Linked DNA regions of Coturnix japonica. The protein of the gene in region 1 interacts with the protein of each later gene in a pairwise test. Links are inferred from orthologs where the notes say so. Each region holds a gene or a part of one and is shown in the gene's direction. Other genes may lie near its edges. The genes, in order: LMO1, CBY2, SOX5 and PTPN3.

Region 1 (4,191 bases):
CAAGCCAGCCTACGCACCGCGTTCAGGGAGCTCGGGATAATGAGAGTTAAGATACTTCTCAAATACGTAAATGTTTTGATTGCAAAGCCCAGATTTCTGCTTAAAAAAGTAAACTGACATGAGGCGTCGTGATTAATTCCGACAGATTGTGTTAATTGTCGTTGGCTTTAATTGCAGTACAAATGCGTTGGGGGTTAGGAAACTTTTTTATTGTTGGTGTGTTAAATGAGTAAGCAGTGAAAGCACTTAGAAATAACCATTTTCGAAGGGAGTAATGCAGCTCCTGTGATGCTGTGAAGCAGTAAAGGATGAACACGTATGGGATCTGTGCCACATCAGCCTACCGCTATCTGCATTCCACCCGCCACAGAACTCAGCTTCAGTAAGCAGTGCCTAACTTCATTTTCATCAGAAAACAGCCCCCCCCTTTTTTTTTTTTGCCATTACCCATCAGTGTGAGTGTAAATGTGCCGTGTGTTTTAGGACCGGTGCGTCCTTGTTGAAGGCGATGGGATTGAAATGTACGCGGACAACGAAGGGACATTTTTGGAGTCCACAGCCTCCATCAGAGATCCGGTAGAAACATTAGAAGTATTAAAACACTCCAAAGGTAGAACAACCCGTGTTTCTGCTAGCTTGTGCCTAGTGCTTTCAACTATTAGCCTTAATCTTTGGGTGAACCGTCCTCCTTTTAGGGCCGTGATACTTGTTGGGTTGTTGGGATCAAGCGTTTGGAATGAAGGGGAAGAAAATGCCACCTCAGCTGGGGATAAGGGATCTAACTAGCAATAGTACTGCGGATACTCAGCCTGAGCCTGCAGTGTGTTGTGTGAGTTGCGAAGGGAAGAAGTTAAAATAGGAATGAAGTGCTTTCTGTATCACAAGCTGACCGAGGCGGTGAGGCTGGTGGCAGCGGAGATCATGACCCTGCAGTTGTGCGAGCGCGGTCGGGGTGACGGCTGCTGTGTGCGCTGGGGCTGCGGGGCGCAGGGTCCGCACTTGTTGCTTTGCGTTCGGTCGTCGATGGCGTCTCTGACAGGTGGGGCGGACCCGCAAGGGCCGAGCTGATACATTCACCGTGGTAGCGACCGAGTGAAAGTGGAGCTACAGTCTCCGGAGCGAGAGTTGCGAGCAACGGGTACAACCGCCGGGTACAGCCGGCCGGGTACCTTCTCAGCTCGCTCTCCGGCGAGTCCGTGCCCTGCGCTCCGCCAAGAGGAGCGGCGGCCCCGAGACCCGCGGGCCGCTCCCCGGGAGGCGCCGGGCCGGGCCGAGGAGCGCGGTGCGTCCTGCAGGGGGTGCTGCCGCGCCGCATCCCGCCGCCGGGGGCGGGCGCCTGCCTTCCCCGCTGCGCTCGGGGCTGCGGGCCGGCCTGCCGGGGTGACGGGAGCTGGGTTCAGCCCGAAACCGAAGAGAGACGCTTCATAAAGCCGAGAGCCGGCTCGCTGCGGCGGTCGGGGGAACGGGCCGTCAGAAGCGATCGCGTGAAAATAGGTTATGAGCTGTAAATTGAGCCGTTGAGGAGGTGAGAACCAGAGGAACCGCTCCGATCGCCCTTCTTTCTAAATTGCAGTTTTAGTTCCTCGCAGTTCTGCGGCGCAGAAGTAGGTGAGCCCCGCAGTCGTACCCGCAGAGCGCTTTGCCCCCGAGCGTCGCTCTGCCGGAGCGAGATCTGTGTTAAACGCCGGACGGGCGGCTATTGGAGCCCCGCGCCGCACGAGGACTCCCCCGCTCCGGAGGTCCGCGCTGCCCGAGCGCAGCCCCGCGATGATGGTGCTGGAGCAGGACGACGGTAGGTGGGCGAGCGGCGCCGGGACGCGGCCGGGAACTGCGTGCCCACGCGTGTCATCTCCTCCCGGCGGGACCCGAGGGTTTACCCCGAGCACCGCGTGCGGAAGCAGCTTCATTCTTATTTTTATTGTTGTCTGCTTAGATTTTTTCCTCCTCCAACTCACCCTAATACATTCATTTATTTTAATGGCTCTGAATGTAAACCTGATGTTGAGATGGTTTCCTTCCCGTTGCGTGTCATTTGGGTCTCCTTAATGTACGCCCTTAATATCTATTTCTCGCATCTTTTCTCCATTGCTCTAACCGTGCTGATGATAAGCTCGTAAGCTGCTCCAGTAGAAAAGCTGTGCCTTCTTCCCAACTCTGAATGGATGTTTGCTGGGAGGTGACTGAATGAATGAAACGGAAGTAGGACCTGACTTAATTTAGGACTTAGCAAACAGTCACTCTGTTAAGAGCAGCCCTTGCTGCGGGCGGCTGAGGGCTGGGTGCTGATGCTGGCAGGCAGTGCTCGGTAGTACCAAACCCAACTGCCTGCTCACCAGCTGTGCCTGGGATGTACGCAGTAAGTCCCATCGCAACTTCTCAATGAGGATCCGCTATGCTGCGGTTTGGAAATTCCCTTCTAACTTGCACACTGCCAGCAAAGAAAGACTGAAGCAGTGGAAGCCATCAGTGGCCATCCTGATGAACTTCCTGCGCTGGCAATGCCACTCGCCTTGGCGTGTTGCGTAGCGAAGGCAGGAGCTGCATTGTAACACCCAGCACACCGCCACAGCCATCATCTCCTTGCTCCATCTCACCTTTGTAAGTGAGTGAAGGGCTGTGCTGATGGCTCAGTTGCTGGGTTCTCTGCTTTTATTTATATAGAATTCTCTATAACCAGCAAGTTTACTTGGAAATAGGAGAAAATAGTGAATGCTTGCAGGCTGTAGACAGGAAGCAGTTTTTCATGGGGATCCAAAGAACTTGGAGAAAATGGAATGTTATGGCGGTAGGGTGAATTTTACTTGAATATATGTATTACCTTTAGAAATATTTGGGGAAAATAACATGCAATTCAGTCTCTTGCTTTCCTGTAATTGTGCATTGTGAGCAGTGCCGAAAGCTTCCCCATTGATAGGTTGAAGCAATATATTCTCTGTTCCCTAACACCTATCTATTTTGGGGTGTTTCAAAGCCAAATTAATGCTGTACTGGACCACAATCAGAAAAGAAGACTTGGCCGTAATGGAAGTAATCTCGCTTTTAACCAATCTTGGACTGATGCTCCTCTTTCTCCCTACACGACACCCCAAGATATACTATCGGGAAACACTATGCTTTGCATCTAGCATTTTGAGGTCCTTCGTCTCCTGACACCTTTAGTCTGTAAAATGATGCAGTGTGCTGACGCGCGTAGCAGTTTGAGGCTTGTTTCTGGGACGGAATGTGGGTTTTTGTCTCATTCAGGTGTGAAGTGCTTGGGACAGTGGACAAAGTGTGCATGGGCTTGGAGGTTATGCGCCCAACATTTGTGACCAAGCAGAAATGAGTCGTTGTCAGTGTCCTCTTTAAGGAGATTCTGATCAGATGTTGACTCAATGTGGGGTCTCAGCACCCACATGTAAGTTTGCTTGCCCTTCTCAAGGGATTCTGTTCTAATGAAGTTGGCATCCTAAAACTGTGAAATAATCTTCAGGTCAAAACACATGGAATCCCTGTCTAGATTTCAGTCAAGCCATCTCATAATTCCCTTTGTTAACGCGGGAGAACTCTGATAAAAAAGAGGTGGATGTGAAGCATCTGTTTCACATCTTCTAGATCAGCTTTGCAGTTGACTGGACTGCGGATAAAAGACACGCTAAGTGGTTGAGCATTGCTTATGCTGGGAAAACAAATGGAGCTAACAGGTTTCAAAGGCTTTGGAGCAGTGTTGCTCTCAGAGGTGTTCGCTTGTTTTCTTTGGCAATACAAGTTGAAGCAAGCTAGTTTACTTTATTAGAGGCGTAAGGCTACTCTTGTAACCTTCCTCTGACTAAGATGAATTTGGCTGGCTGACCTTACTTCTTACTGGACCACACGTGTTGTGCTGGGCTTTGTTATTTTCAGCTTTTTTCCCCCTCCTCTTCTTAAGGCTCATCTCTTTAAAAGGACGGCGGCATTTTCCATATTTTGTCAAATCTTCCTTTTCAATTTGTGTTTCCCCATAGAGTTGTGTTCTGCTATGATGGAGCAATGCAAATCAAGCAGAATAGCCCAAATTAATTCTTCACATTGGCGGCAGCATGATTGCCTGCATGGAATCAATAATGCGTCGTGGAGGGATCAAATTTTTGAGTATAATGTGTGAATAATGCTTGACACAAAACAAAAATTCAGTCATCATAATAGCAATTAGGAAAAAGCTGCAGCTTATCC
Region 2 (4,344 bases), on another chromosome or scaffold:
GTTACCATCTCTTGACAGGGAAGGGAACGCAGTCAACATTATTTCTGCCTTCACAGCCTTGTGAATGACAGCCTTATCCTTAGGACAATATAGCTCAGAAGTCAGTGCAGTTGCTTTGAAAAGTTCTGCCGTGAACAGCTGTGTCTTTACAATTCTGGTGTGTGTCTCCACATACATGTATGCACATCTGATGATATTCGCTAAATTGGATCCAAATATATTACTGTTTGAAGTTGTAACTTTCAACAAAGAAGTGACTTGCCAGAAGAACTTTATCCAACATTCAGGACAATAAGAAAATGCATAAGAAAAAGTGAAAGTATGCAGCTAACTTAGTTCCTAGGAGTTCTGGACCAAGCAGGCTTTGCCTGCTGATAAATCCACGGTGCCCTTGTCTCTGTTAGCTCAGTTTTCTGTCGGCTCTTAGAACTTAAAACTTTCATTTAAGGTCTGTGCCAGTGGTCCACACACTCAGGTATTCAGAAGTTCAGCTGCCTCCCCTGAGAGCTGTAGCAGCTGGACAGCACCCTGGCACTGCCATCTGACTGAAGGCCAACTACTTCTTAGGGGGATATTTTCCAGTTTCTCTTTGTAGGACCCCAGAACTTGAACAGAGGAGAATGAACCCCGGGGAGTTGTCATGGGAACTTCTGATTTACTTATTTATTGTGTTGTCTGAGATGAAATAGAAACAAGGAAAAAAATACAGAAGAGAATTGTATGCCTAAGTTTATTATCTTTGCAGAACACTGAAGCCAAACTATACCTTTAACTTCCTAAAGCAATAACAGTCACTTTGGGATTGATGTCAAGTTGGTAATTTTCACTGGAATAGACATTAATTGCTGTATTTATTATTCAAAAACCCTGATGACAGGAAAAAAGATGAAGAAATAATCCACATCTAAAAGATTAAGCAAATAAGAGAGAGAATGAGATTATTAGAAACATAAAGACATGGAAGCAGGAATAGCTGCTATAAATAATATCTAAACTTGTAATGCATGAATGCCCTGCATGTTCTGTTTTCTTCTTAATGGGGTTCAGTGATGATCTACTCTTTAACTTATAGTTACAGAAAAACTCATATCCATGTTGTCCTTTAAAAATAACTTCAGCTGTCATAGCGCATACACAGAAGGAAGTGGTTTTTGAACTTATCAGCATTGGTTCAGCCAGAGAATTAATGTGTTAGATTCAGAATAAAAGCAAAATTTCTTTTAGGAGAGCGTGATGGAGGGAGAATCCATCTAAACTGCTCTCAGTTATGTGCATCAGAGAGGGAAGCCTGGGTTCAAGAAAGGACGTGAGAGCTAGGCTACTGGAAAGGTCGTTTCCATGAGAAATGACCCAAATGTGCAATGCTGGGAAAAATAAAACAAAATGGGCTGTGAGGGGGGAGAGGGGGGAGCTCCTGGACTTGTGGAGAAGGGGCTGGCTCTGGGCGTGGTGATCGCATCACAGTGGGTTCCATTGTCCCATCTCATCACCATGCCCCCCCCATACAGAACTTGGAGCAGAACTTCAGGCTAAAAAGCCAAGCGGAGACCTGGCAGCTGTGCAGGGCAGTGAAGAGGGTAGAGTATCATCTCCAACAAGCAGGTGAGTACATGCTGGTATGTAATTTGGTACTGCCAAAACACCTATATATGCTTGATTTCATGCGGTCTCCCCCAACCCTGCTCCTCCAACCCATCTCCCCATCCTGTGGAAGGAATTTTTAGTTTGGGAATATGAATAAGGAAGGTGGGAAAATTTCTCTGAAGCCTGGGTTGACCTCTCCCCTGCAATACACAGGAGCTGATAGAGGTGCTGTCAAGTTTAATTGACCCCAGGACAACATCCTTCAATGCTGTATACATTATATACTGCTGTTTATCCTCAAAACTTGCCATATAAACACTTTAAACATAAGTGGCTTTAAATGCCTGCGCATGAAACACAGTGAAGGGTGGGTCTTGGCTTGTGATGCTGGCTGTTTTCTCATCAGGGTTTAGGGATCAGTTCCCCCTGTGATTCAGCTTCCCATCATGGGGATAATGACAGGGACATCAGCACCCTCTGAGGGAAAAGGACAGGTCTGTGTGAGGCAGGGAGCAACAAATTGCTCGCTGTGCTCTGAACACAATGTAAGGGGGAAAAATAAACGCGGAAATTGGCAAGCAGTTGCAAACAGTGGGAAATCCCTTTTAGCAGAGGAATGACATTATGCAAACACAAGTCTGATGTGAGATATACCAGATGGCAATGCGGAAGGCAGCTCTGAAAGTTAAGCAGAGACCTTATATCAATAAAATCAAGTGTTACGGCAAACAGACCCATATTGCAATTATTCCTTCAAGAAGAGATTTGGGGCTTTGAACAGTAGCAATATGTCTTTGAGCTTTCAAGCAAGTTTGGGAAGGCAAAGAAGGAGGTAGCTGTGGGTGGTGGGTCTCAGAAGTAACTTGGAGGAGCCCAGGGAGGCAGCAGCTGGTGAAGGTTGTGGGGCAAAACAGGACAAAGGGTTCAGTGTCCTGGCAGAGCTGGGCCATGGCTTTGACCCCCTGCCAAGTGCTTGGGACAGATACAGAGGCAAAATGACTGCCCACCAGTCATATGGCAGCACTGGATGCCATATAGGACAGGAGGGTGACTGGAAGGCTTTGGGGCAAGAAGGATAAAAACTGGCAGTCAGCCTACCATTTTTTTTTTATCAGAAAAAAACCCAACAGTTTTATGCTGTGGTAAAAAGAAACAAATACTTTTGTTTTAAAAAGCAGTTCAATCTCAATCTCATTTCATATGACTTTCTGCATTTTATTTATCTTCCATGACTGTAAAACTGATGCAAGGGGATGAAAAGAGAGTCCAGGTTTTTGTATCAAACTTTGTGGTGCCACCAAGGCTTTGCCTTCTCCACTAGTGCCTGTTTTCTCCTGTTCTTGCAGTCCTAATCAAGCTTCATCTCCAGCTTCTGTGTCATCTAGTCCTTGCCAGTGGGCAGTGGCCTCCTGCAGTGGCCTCCTGCAGAAGTCTTTTCACAATCTTTCTCTGTTTGCCAACAGATAACCATGTCTGCTTTTGACCTGACAAACCAGAGCACACGGGGTACAAGGCCCGAGATGGACTGTGTCTTCCCACGGATGAAACTGAGGGATGAGACATTTACATTTATTGATGGTAAATGGGTGAATGAGGTGCACTGCCAGCCAACATTTGCATCCCAGAGGAGACTCCTTAACAAGAAGACAGAGAACGAGTGGAGCATCTGGGAGGAGAACAGAGCCCTCTGGGAGGAAAACCAAGTCCTCCGTATCGAAAACAGGATGCTCTGGGAAGAAAATAAGGCTCTGCAATATCTCCAGACACAGAACAAAGGTGTCCAGCTTGTTTACAGTGACATCATCCAGCAAAGCCTCCAGAAAGATAAGCTGTCCTCGTTCTTCCCAGAGAGGCATTTAGGTTTTCAGGTCAGTCCAAGCAACAAGGCTCTCCAGCTGGTCAGAGAAAGAAGCAGCTTCTTAGAGTTTTTCCATAAGCAGAATAGAACAGTTCCCAGCATTTGGAAAGATCAACCAACCTTCATAGTCCAAGAAGAGAACAAAGGCGCCAGCTCAGTTCAGAAGGTCACTGAATGTACCACAGCTGCGGGAGAAGGTAGCCCTGGCACATCCTCCCAGGAGGAGCATGATGCCAAAGAGGAGAGCACCACGCCAACCCAGAATGACACCAAGATTGCACCAACCGCAGAGGATGATAATGAAATCCTTCAGGCTCTCCATGACTTATACCAGATTCTCCAGGTGTTCCTCAAGGAGAAATGTCTTGCTGATGACAGAGACAGCCTTCACGCTCTCCAAGATGAGAAAAAATTCTTCCAGGAAGAGTACAAGAAATTGAAGCTGCAGCTGAATAACGTGAAAAACACTGTGTCAGACATTACAACTCAACTGGAAATGCTGGAGAAAGAGCTCATCGCCATCACTTTCCCAATATATGAAGAAGAAGGGAAGAACATGGCAAACGAGTTTCAACTTGGAGAGATTTGAAGCCTGGTGCTAAACCTGCTAGTTCTGTTTCCTGGAAAGTGCCTCTCTTTGTTTCCAGGAACTTAATAAAATACAAGCAGAGCATGAACTAAAATTAAAGCTGGAGAGTATTGTGTTATTCTGAAACTTTCTTATATTACCTGGGCAGATTTCAACTTTTGGTAGCGTGGTGCCTGGAAAGCATGCTTTTCAGCCTTTTGGGGGGGATTTTCTGCTAATGGAGAGCCTGCATATTCAAAAAAGAGTTCATTCTTTTCACTCTTAATTTGAGGTACCTTAGGTTGGCCATACTTTTCAAAGAGATGATTGGCAC
Region 3 (2,686 bases), on another chromosome or scaffold:
ATTAAAAGCAATTTAAGTGTGCTGAATCTTGTTACAGAAATGCTGACTCCAGAAAACAAAGCCTTCCTATTGAATTAAGAATAAAATGCAAATTAGATCCGCTCCCTTCTTTAAGAGCTGTGTCTTCAGCTGAGACAACTTAAACTTGTTTCAGCAACAAGGAAATAACGATTATACTGACAGCGGCCTCGCTTGAATGGCAGGCAGGAAGTAACTGAAAACACAGCTAGCAATTCCAAACAAATGTAAAGCTCTTTGGCTGAGGAGAGTCTTTCAGGATCACTGTACTGTGCGGGGCTTACTGTACAGCCAGGGCACAGCCAGGCAAGGGAACAGGGAAAGGTTTCATTCTTAATTACGAATGTTCATCTCAAGAGACTCTGCCCTGTCTCCTGTGGCAAGGCTTTTCAGTACAGATGGACACACCGCTGATGACATTACAATGTGCAGCATGTACTGAAGAGTATTACTGCAATGGAATTACTTCATGCAGCAAGGAAACAAAAGGAGCATGAATTTTAAACCTCTGGGCTTGTTGGGACCCTGAAGCTTCTCAGGGAAACAAACGCTGGTATAACACAGCTAGTGTTCTTGATGCAAAGGGAATTTCTATGGCCTGGAATAATTCGTCTTTCATTGCTGCAGACAGGTTTCCAAGGCTTAGATGCTATATAAAGGCATCTTATAGAGGATTTGCTCAAATGCTCATGTTGTTCGCTTGCTTTTTATTTATTTTTAAATAATGCATGCTTCCATTTTAAGTCTGGCTTTTCCCAGTTTTATCCACCCTGCTTCAAAGTTTCTGTTTTTCACCCGTTTTACTCACTCTGGTAACTGTCACCTTCCAGTGGGAGGCCGTTACCCACTTGGGCCCCAGAAAGCCCACTGCCCTTCTCTATAACAAGGGCCAGGTCCAGGTGTTACCATGCAGTAGACTTCTCTCATCAGAGAGGCCTTTCCTTTCTCCTCCAAAGTTACTTCCCTTTGCTTTGCAGACTGTCCAGCCTTAGCTTCATTTATCCTGTTAGCAAATTTTTATTTCTAATCCTTTCAACTGCTTGTGATTGTTTAAGAAGATTTTCAAAATGCATGGTTTTGTGAGGTAGTCCATGACTGAAAGGGTGCTTGCTTCTTTCTGGCTGCTCAGTAAAGAAATTTGCGTCACAGGCTGATAAGCTGAAGCTGTGTGGTTCAGGTGTAACTGAAGAAGTTCACAAAGGTTGAATTTCCTTAGCAGTGAAGTTGGTTTGGGCTCACTGTTCACATCAGGAGCATCAGTTGGTGAATCTGGAGTATTGATACCAGGGTAGTCATGTGTGGGCCATCCATAAGCTCCCTCTGAATGCTCAAGAGCGCATGCTAATGGGTTTGCCAAATGCCGTCATACTTGCTCTCTCTCTGCTTCTTGCAGTACTCAAATGTCCTCTTCCTTCTTCTCCATTGCAGGCAACAAGCACAGATTCCCATTGCCACCGCAGGTGTCGTTTACCCAGGAGCCATCGCCATGGCAGGAATGCCTTCCCCACACCTGCCCTCAGAGCACTCAAGTGTGTCCAGCAGCCCCGAGCCCGGGATGCCTGTCATCCAGAGCACTTACGGCATCAAAGGTGAGGAGCCCCATATCAAGGAAGAGATGCAGACCGATGACGTCAATGGAGAAATCTACGATGAGTATGATGAGGAAGAGGATGACCCCGATGTGGACTATGGCAGTGACAGTGAAAATCACATTGCGGGGCAAGCCAACTGATCAGGGTCCAAATACCATGTGACCCGCAGGACTTCAAGGAGAAAAGAAAAAATAAATAAAGCCCCATCTGGTTTATCCTTACCAGTGGCCAAGCACATTAACTTTCTCATACACTGACTGTTACTTTAACTGTTAGTCTTAACTAGTTGGGACATCAGCTGACTAATAGACATCAGCCTGCATCAGAAGAAAAAAGGCTCAGAAGAAAGGAAACAAAGACAACGACAACAACAACAGAATAATATAAGCTATGGGTAAAATAATGCCAGTAATTCAGCTGCTATACCCGAGCACTGAAGTCTTACCCGTCGACCTTTTATTATTATTATTTTTTTTTTCAAATAAACTTTATGGCTGTTTGTTCTACAATGTTCTAGAAATTCTCACTCAGGTACACAGTGCCAACAAGTGGCTTGTGAATGTGTTTTGTTGTTTTGTGCTACAGTTTAAAGAGAAATAATTTTTCTTTTTTTTTCCTTTTTTTTTTTTTCTTTTCCTTTTTTATTTTTATTTTTTTGGTAATGCACCTGACAGGAAAGAAGAAAAAGATAAAATTCCTTTTTCCCCTTCTGTCTCCTCCTTCTCCTCCCTGGCACGTTTGGGTCTGAAGCGTGTGTGTGTGTGCGTGTGCGCGTGGCTGGCAAGGAAGGAAGTGGGGAGCCTGTTTCTGTTAACCCCAGCAAGCAATTATTTCCTTTCAAGAGAGAACTTCTCTTCATCAGTTGCACATCATACTGAGTCTTTGAGCAAGTGCCAAATTTGTACTACAGCGCTGAACTAGTCCAATTTGCTTTATTTTATTTTTTGTTGGTCTTTGTTTTTGTTTTTCTTTGGGTTTCCTTTCTCTTCCTGCTCTATCTCAAGTTAGGACAGTGTTGTATCTTAGACAATCCCTTGAAGAACCTGATATACCAGCAGCTGGTGAGATTAGATTTA
Region 4 (3,599 bases), on another chromosome or scaffold:
GGCCATAGATTGCAGTAGAAGAAAAATCATCTGCAGAATGCTCTGCAAATGATTACGACCTACTAAATTGTCTTCATGTTCCCTTTTTTAAGGCGGAGTCCTAGACTACGTCATGAAATTCGTAAAGCACGACATTCATCTGTAGATAACCTTACAAATGAGATTTCTTATATTACCGAGACCGAAGATGTTTTTTATACGTATAAGGGCTCTCCAACATCCAAAGACAGCGATTCAGAGTTCTCTCAGAACCACAGTCCACAGAGGAGGTAAGGGCTTCTGTAAACAATTCATTGCTCATTTGTCTTTAAAAACAAAATAGCCTTAGTATAAAACAGTCATCATAATTTACATCATTGAGTTCAAACAGTTTTTTGTTTGCATAAGATTTATTTTGACAAATTGTTAAAAGTGCAAATGCTGTGATACAAAATGACAAGTTTAAAAACCAACCCTTAACCCCTAAACAAAAATTTTCAATAAAATCAGAGGTGGCAAACCTGTTCTTATCTGTAATATCCCCTTTCCCAGTAAGTTTTGCAACCCTTTCCCACCTATTATAACCTTTCTTTTCTCTTGGGGAATCTTCATTGGGCTCTTAAAAGAGTTCATTTGTTTTCTACATTATCAGTTCCAGCTGGTTTGAAAGAATTACTGTGTTAGATTAAACATGGAAACATGATGATACTAGTGGTCATCTATCTTTTTCTTACTTTGAGGAATTGTAGATTGCCACTCTTTGGGCAGTCTGTACTTGTTGCCTTCAGGTGTTTTGCTCTATTCCTTAAGGACCAACTGTCTAACCAGGGCTATTATGTTTGCTTCCATGACCTGAAGCTCTTGTCTTTGTGCACTAATTATTTCTTTGCTTATACATTATATTTATTGTGTGGCTTTCCTCTTACTTAAAGAGTTATTTCTTAATGAGTAACTTCATATTAGCATAATACTAACTTCAGAAATAATAAGGGTACCAGGTCCCTGATCAGTCAAATTTTACAAAGAAAACAGAGTACTTTGAAACTTTCATCTAGGGAGGATACTTTGTATTAAAATGCAGGTTTCTTTATATTATTACAAAAGAAAAATAGCTTTGGGTGACCTCTTCCTTGTAACTCAAAGGCATGATGTATTTTGAGAAGCAGATTGATAGGAATTGCCTGTCTCTTTGGTAGCATTCAGCTTCATTGCAGTAGCTTTAAACCCAAGGCGAAGAGTTGTCTTAAAATATGAAGAAAACAGTTTTTTTTACTATATTATAGCATTGAGGTTTTAGGGGGGCAGGGAAAAGGGGCTGAGCAAGGGGGGGTAATGAAAATTTAACGTGCTGTATGCATATTTGGAGTTTGTCACTGGGGTTATTGAAAGTATTTTTCTATTCCTGCAAGTCAGATGTGCCGTTGTGCTAGTAGTGTCACTAATGGCTGTAATAATGTGTGTTGCCTCAAGATGTTGAGTAGCCACAGATATGAAGTTGTGTCTTTCATGTGTTTTAACATTTACAGACAAATTATGCCCTTGCAGAAGTAGTTAACCAAATAAAATTAATAAGAAGTAGACCATATGAGGAGATGGTGAATGTAGAAGCTGTTGGCAGAAAAACAAGTTGTTACCCTGTGTACTGTGACTGGTAGATTGTGTCCTGACTTCATCATTCTTGTTTTTATCTTTTCTTCTGCAATTTTTCTCCTTCCTGTTTTACCTTTCCTATTCCTCCTGAGGGTGGAGTGGGAAGGTCTGTTTTTTATGGACAGTGGAAATAGGGTGTTCTGAATGTGAAAACAGCTTATTTATTTCCTGAGCACTGATTTGTTCTACTGTATCTGAGTTACATCACTCACTGTAGATATTATGGTTACACCTCAGATAAACCTAATTTTCTGTGAGTTATTCCCAAAGCATTCCTTGTCTCTTTGGTATATTTATAGTATTGGATTTCATGCATGTAATTGAAAAAATACTTACATAAATGTGCTTAATTTAAATTCACAGTATGTTTAGGATGGAGAATATCGTGTATAGAATGAATGATCATTTATTACATTAACTGGTAGATGTAAAGTGGTACTTTTAGAAGTAAAATGGTCATTAATACTTCAACAAATGAGGTAAAACATTATGGTACTGTACAAATAAAAGAATGTTTAAACTCTACACTGATGTTTTCAATAGTTAGTCTGCATTCCACTTGTTATTCTTTATGTTCTTACATTTGTCATTATTTGCCTTGCTTCTTTTGTGGGAAGATGTAAGGTAAAATTAATTTTAGGTGTAGACAAATATTTTTCTCTGAATGCTTTATTGAAATAGAATCTGGTCTACCAGCTATATCTGCTTTGTAAGAAAAGCATTTAACTTGCCTATCTTTGGTATTATGTATGGACAAACATTTGTCCTGGACTTCTGCCATACTTCAGAATAGTTTAGTTATTAACTAGCAAACAGCTTGCAGTGTACTGATTAAACTTTTAAAGCTAACTTGCCTATTCTTGTCAGACTGTTCTTTAGTAGACTTGAACTGACACAATCAAGACGTGCTTTGGAAAAATATTGAAATTGCAAATCTGTTCTCATAGAAGGGGGCCCAAACTAGATTCTCCTAGCTTTTGTATTGCCTTTAGAGGACTCTTTTTTTTTTTTTTGTTTTTCTGCCTAGCCTGCAATCTCAGGCGAAAGTGGTTGTAGTTAATACTGAGTATAAATGATGAGTGTCTTTGGTGGGAGGAAAAATCTGAAAGAACTGTGGAAAGTTACTAGCAAGCAACTGGGAGATGCTTTTAAATCCCTTTATTATTGCTTGAACTGGACCTTGAATCTTCATTATAATCATACAGCTCCTTAACCTTAATCTGTGGCTATCATGAGCATTTCAGGGACTGCGGTAATGGGAGATGGTTTCTACTTGTTTCAGTTCAGACTCTGAATAACGTCTTAGGTTTTTTTCATCAAAGCAACATCTACCCCAAGACAGAATTGCCTTCAGAATCATCTGTTTGCTTATTGGTACAAATGTATAGATGAAACTTGTCTGACGAGATTTGTTGTGTACTTAATCAATTAAGTCATGTTTGGAATCTTGGGGGATCTTGGATTTATAGAAGAATGCATAGGTTTGCTTATCTAAGCCAACCATCTCAAATCACAGCTGCATGTAAAGCCTGTCATTGAAGATGGTGCTGAAGAGGACTTCAAGAAGACTTTTGTTTAGTCCAGGGTAATCCAGCCTCCGTGAAGAATCCTTCCCTGTTGTTTCTCCTCTTGCTTGCTGTGCTGCTGTCTGTCTTATCTGACTACTGCTGCCTCTGAAAAATTACACAGCTGGAGTACACGCTGAAGACTTACCTCTAATAGGTTGCTTTGAGTGTTAAACCACTTTTATTATTTCTGTGCCTCACCAGCACCAGAGCAGGTAATCTAGTCTATCCTCTGACTCTGTTTTGCACTATTTTACAATATACTTAACTTATCCTTTTGGATGTATACACATATTGCTACTACTGTTTTGTTTCAAGACAAGTAGTGAGATAAAACGTATTATTTATTAGGGACTCTTGGTATCTGTTTTTCACTTACAGTTGGCTTTCCCCATTCTTGCCCTG

The links.
Region 2: the proteins of LMO1 (region 1) and CBY2 interact in binary tests that used the Homo sapiens proteins (3 or more experiments, as listed by UniProt). The two-hybrid records come from large-scale screens. The link is inferred for Coturnix japonica from reciprocal best matches to the Homo sapiens genes LMO1 and CBY2.
Region 3: the proteins of LMO1 (region 1) and SOX5 interact in binary tests that used the Homo sapiens proteins (3 or more experiments, as listed by UniProt). The two-hybrid records come from large-scale screens. The link is inferred for Coturnix japonica from reciprocal best matches to the Homo sapiens genes LMO1 and SOX5.
Region 4: the proteins of LMO1 (region 1) and PTPN3 interact in binary tests that used the Homo sapiens proteins (3 or more experiments, as listed by UniProt). The two-hybrid records come from large-scale screens. The link is inferred for Coturnix japonica from reciprocal best matches to the Homo sapiens genes LMO1 and PTPN3.

The regions. Positions count from the first base shown.
Region 1 is NC_029520.1:14,278,425-14,282,615, forward strand, and holds the start of LMO1 (rhombotin-1), read left to right. Parts: upstream 1-1,358; 5' UTR 1,359-1,767; coding exon 1,768-1,792; intron 1,793-4,191. UniProt on the Homo sapiens protein: May be involved in gene regulation within neural lineage cells potentially by direct DNA binding or by binding to other transcription factors.
Region 2 is NC_029516.1:150,251,587-150,255,930, forward strand, and holds CBY2 (spermatid-associated protein), read left to right. Parts: upstream 1-1,502; 5' UTR 1,503-1,602; intron 1,603-3,047; 5' UTR 3,048-3,053; coding exon 3,054-4,031; 3' UTR 4,032-4,130; downstream 4,131-4,344.
Region 3 is NC_029516.1:60,779,785-60,782,470, forward strand, and holds the end of SOX5 (transcription factor SOX-5), read left to right. Parts: intron 1-1,446; coding exon 1,447-1,750; 3' UTR 1,751-2,119; downstream 2,120-2,686.
Region 4 is NC_029517.1:46,429,414-46,433,012, forward strand, and holds part of PTPN3 (tyrosine-protein phosphatase non-receptor type 3), read left to right. Parts: intron 1-92; coding exon 93-269; intron 270-3,599.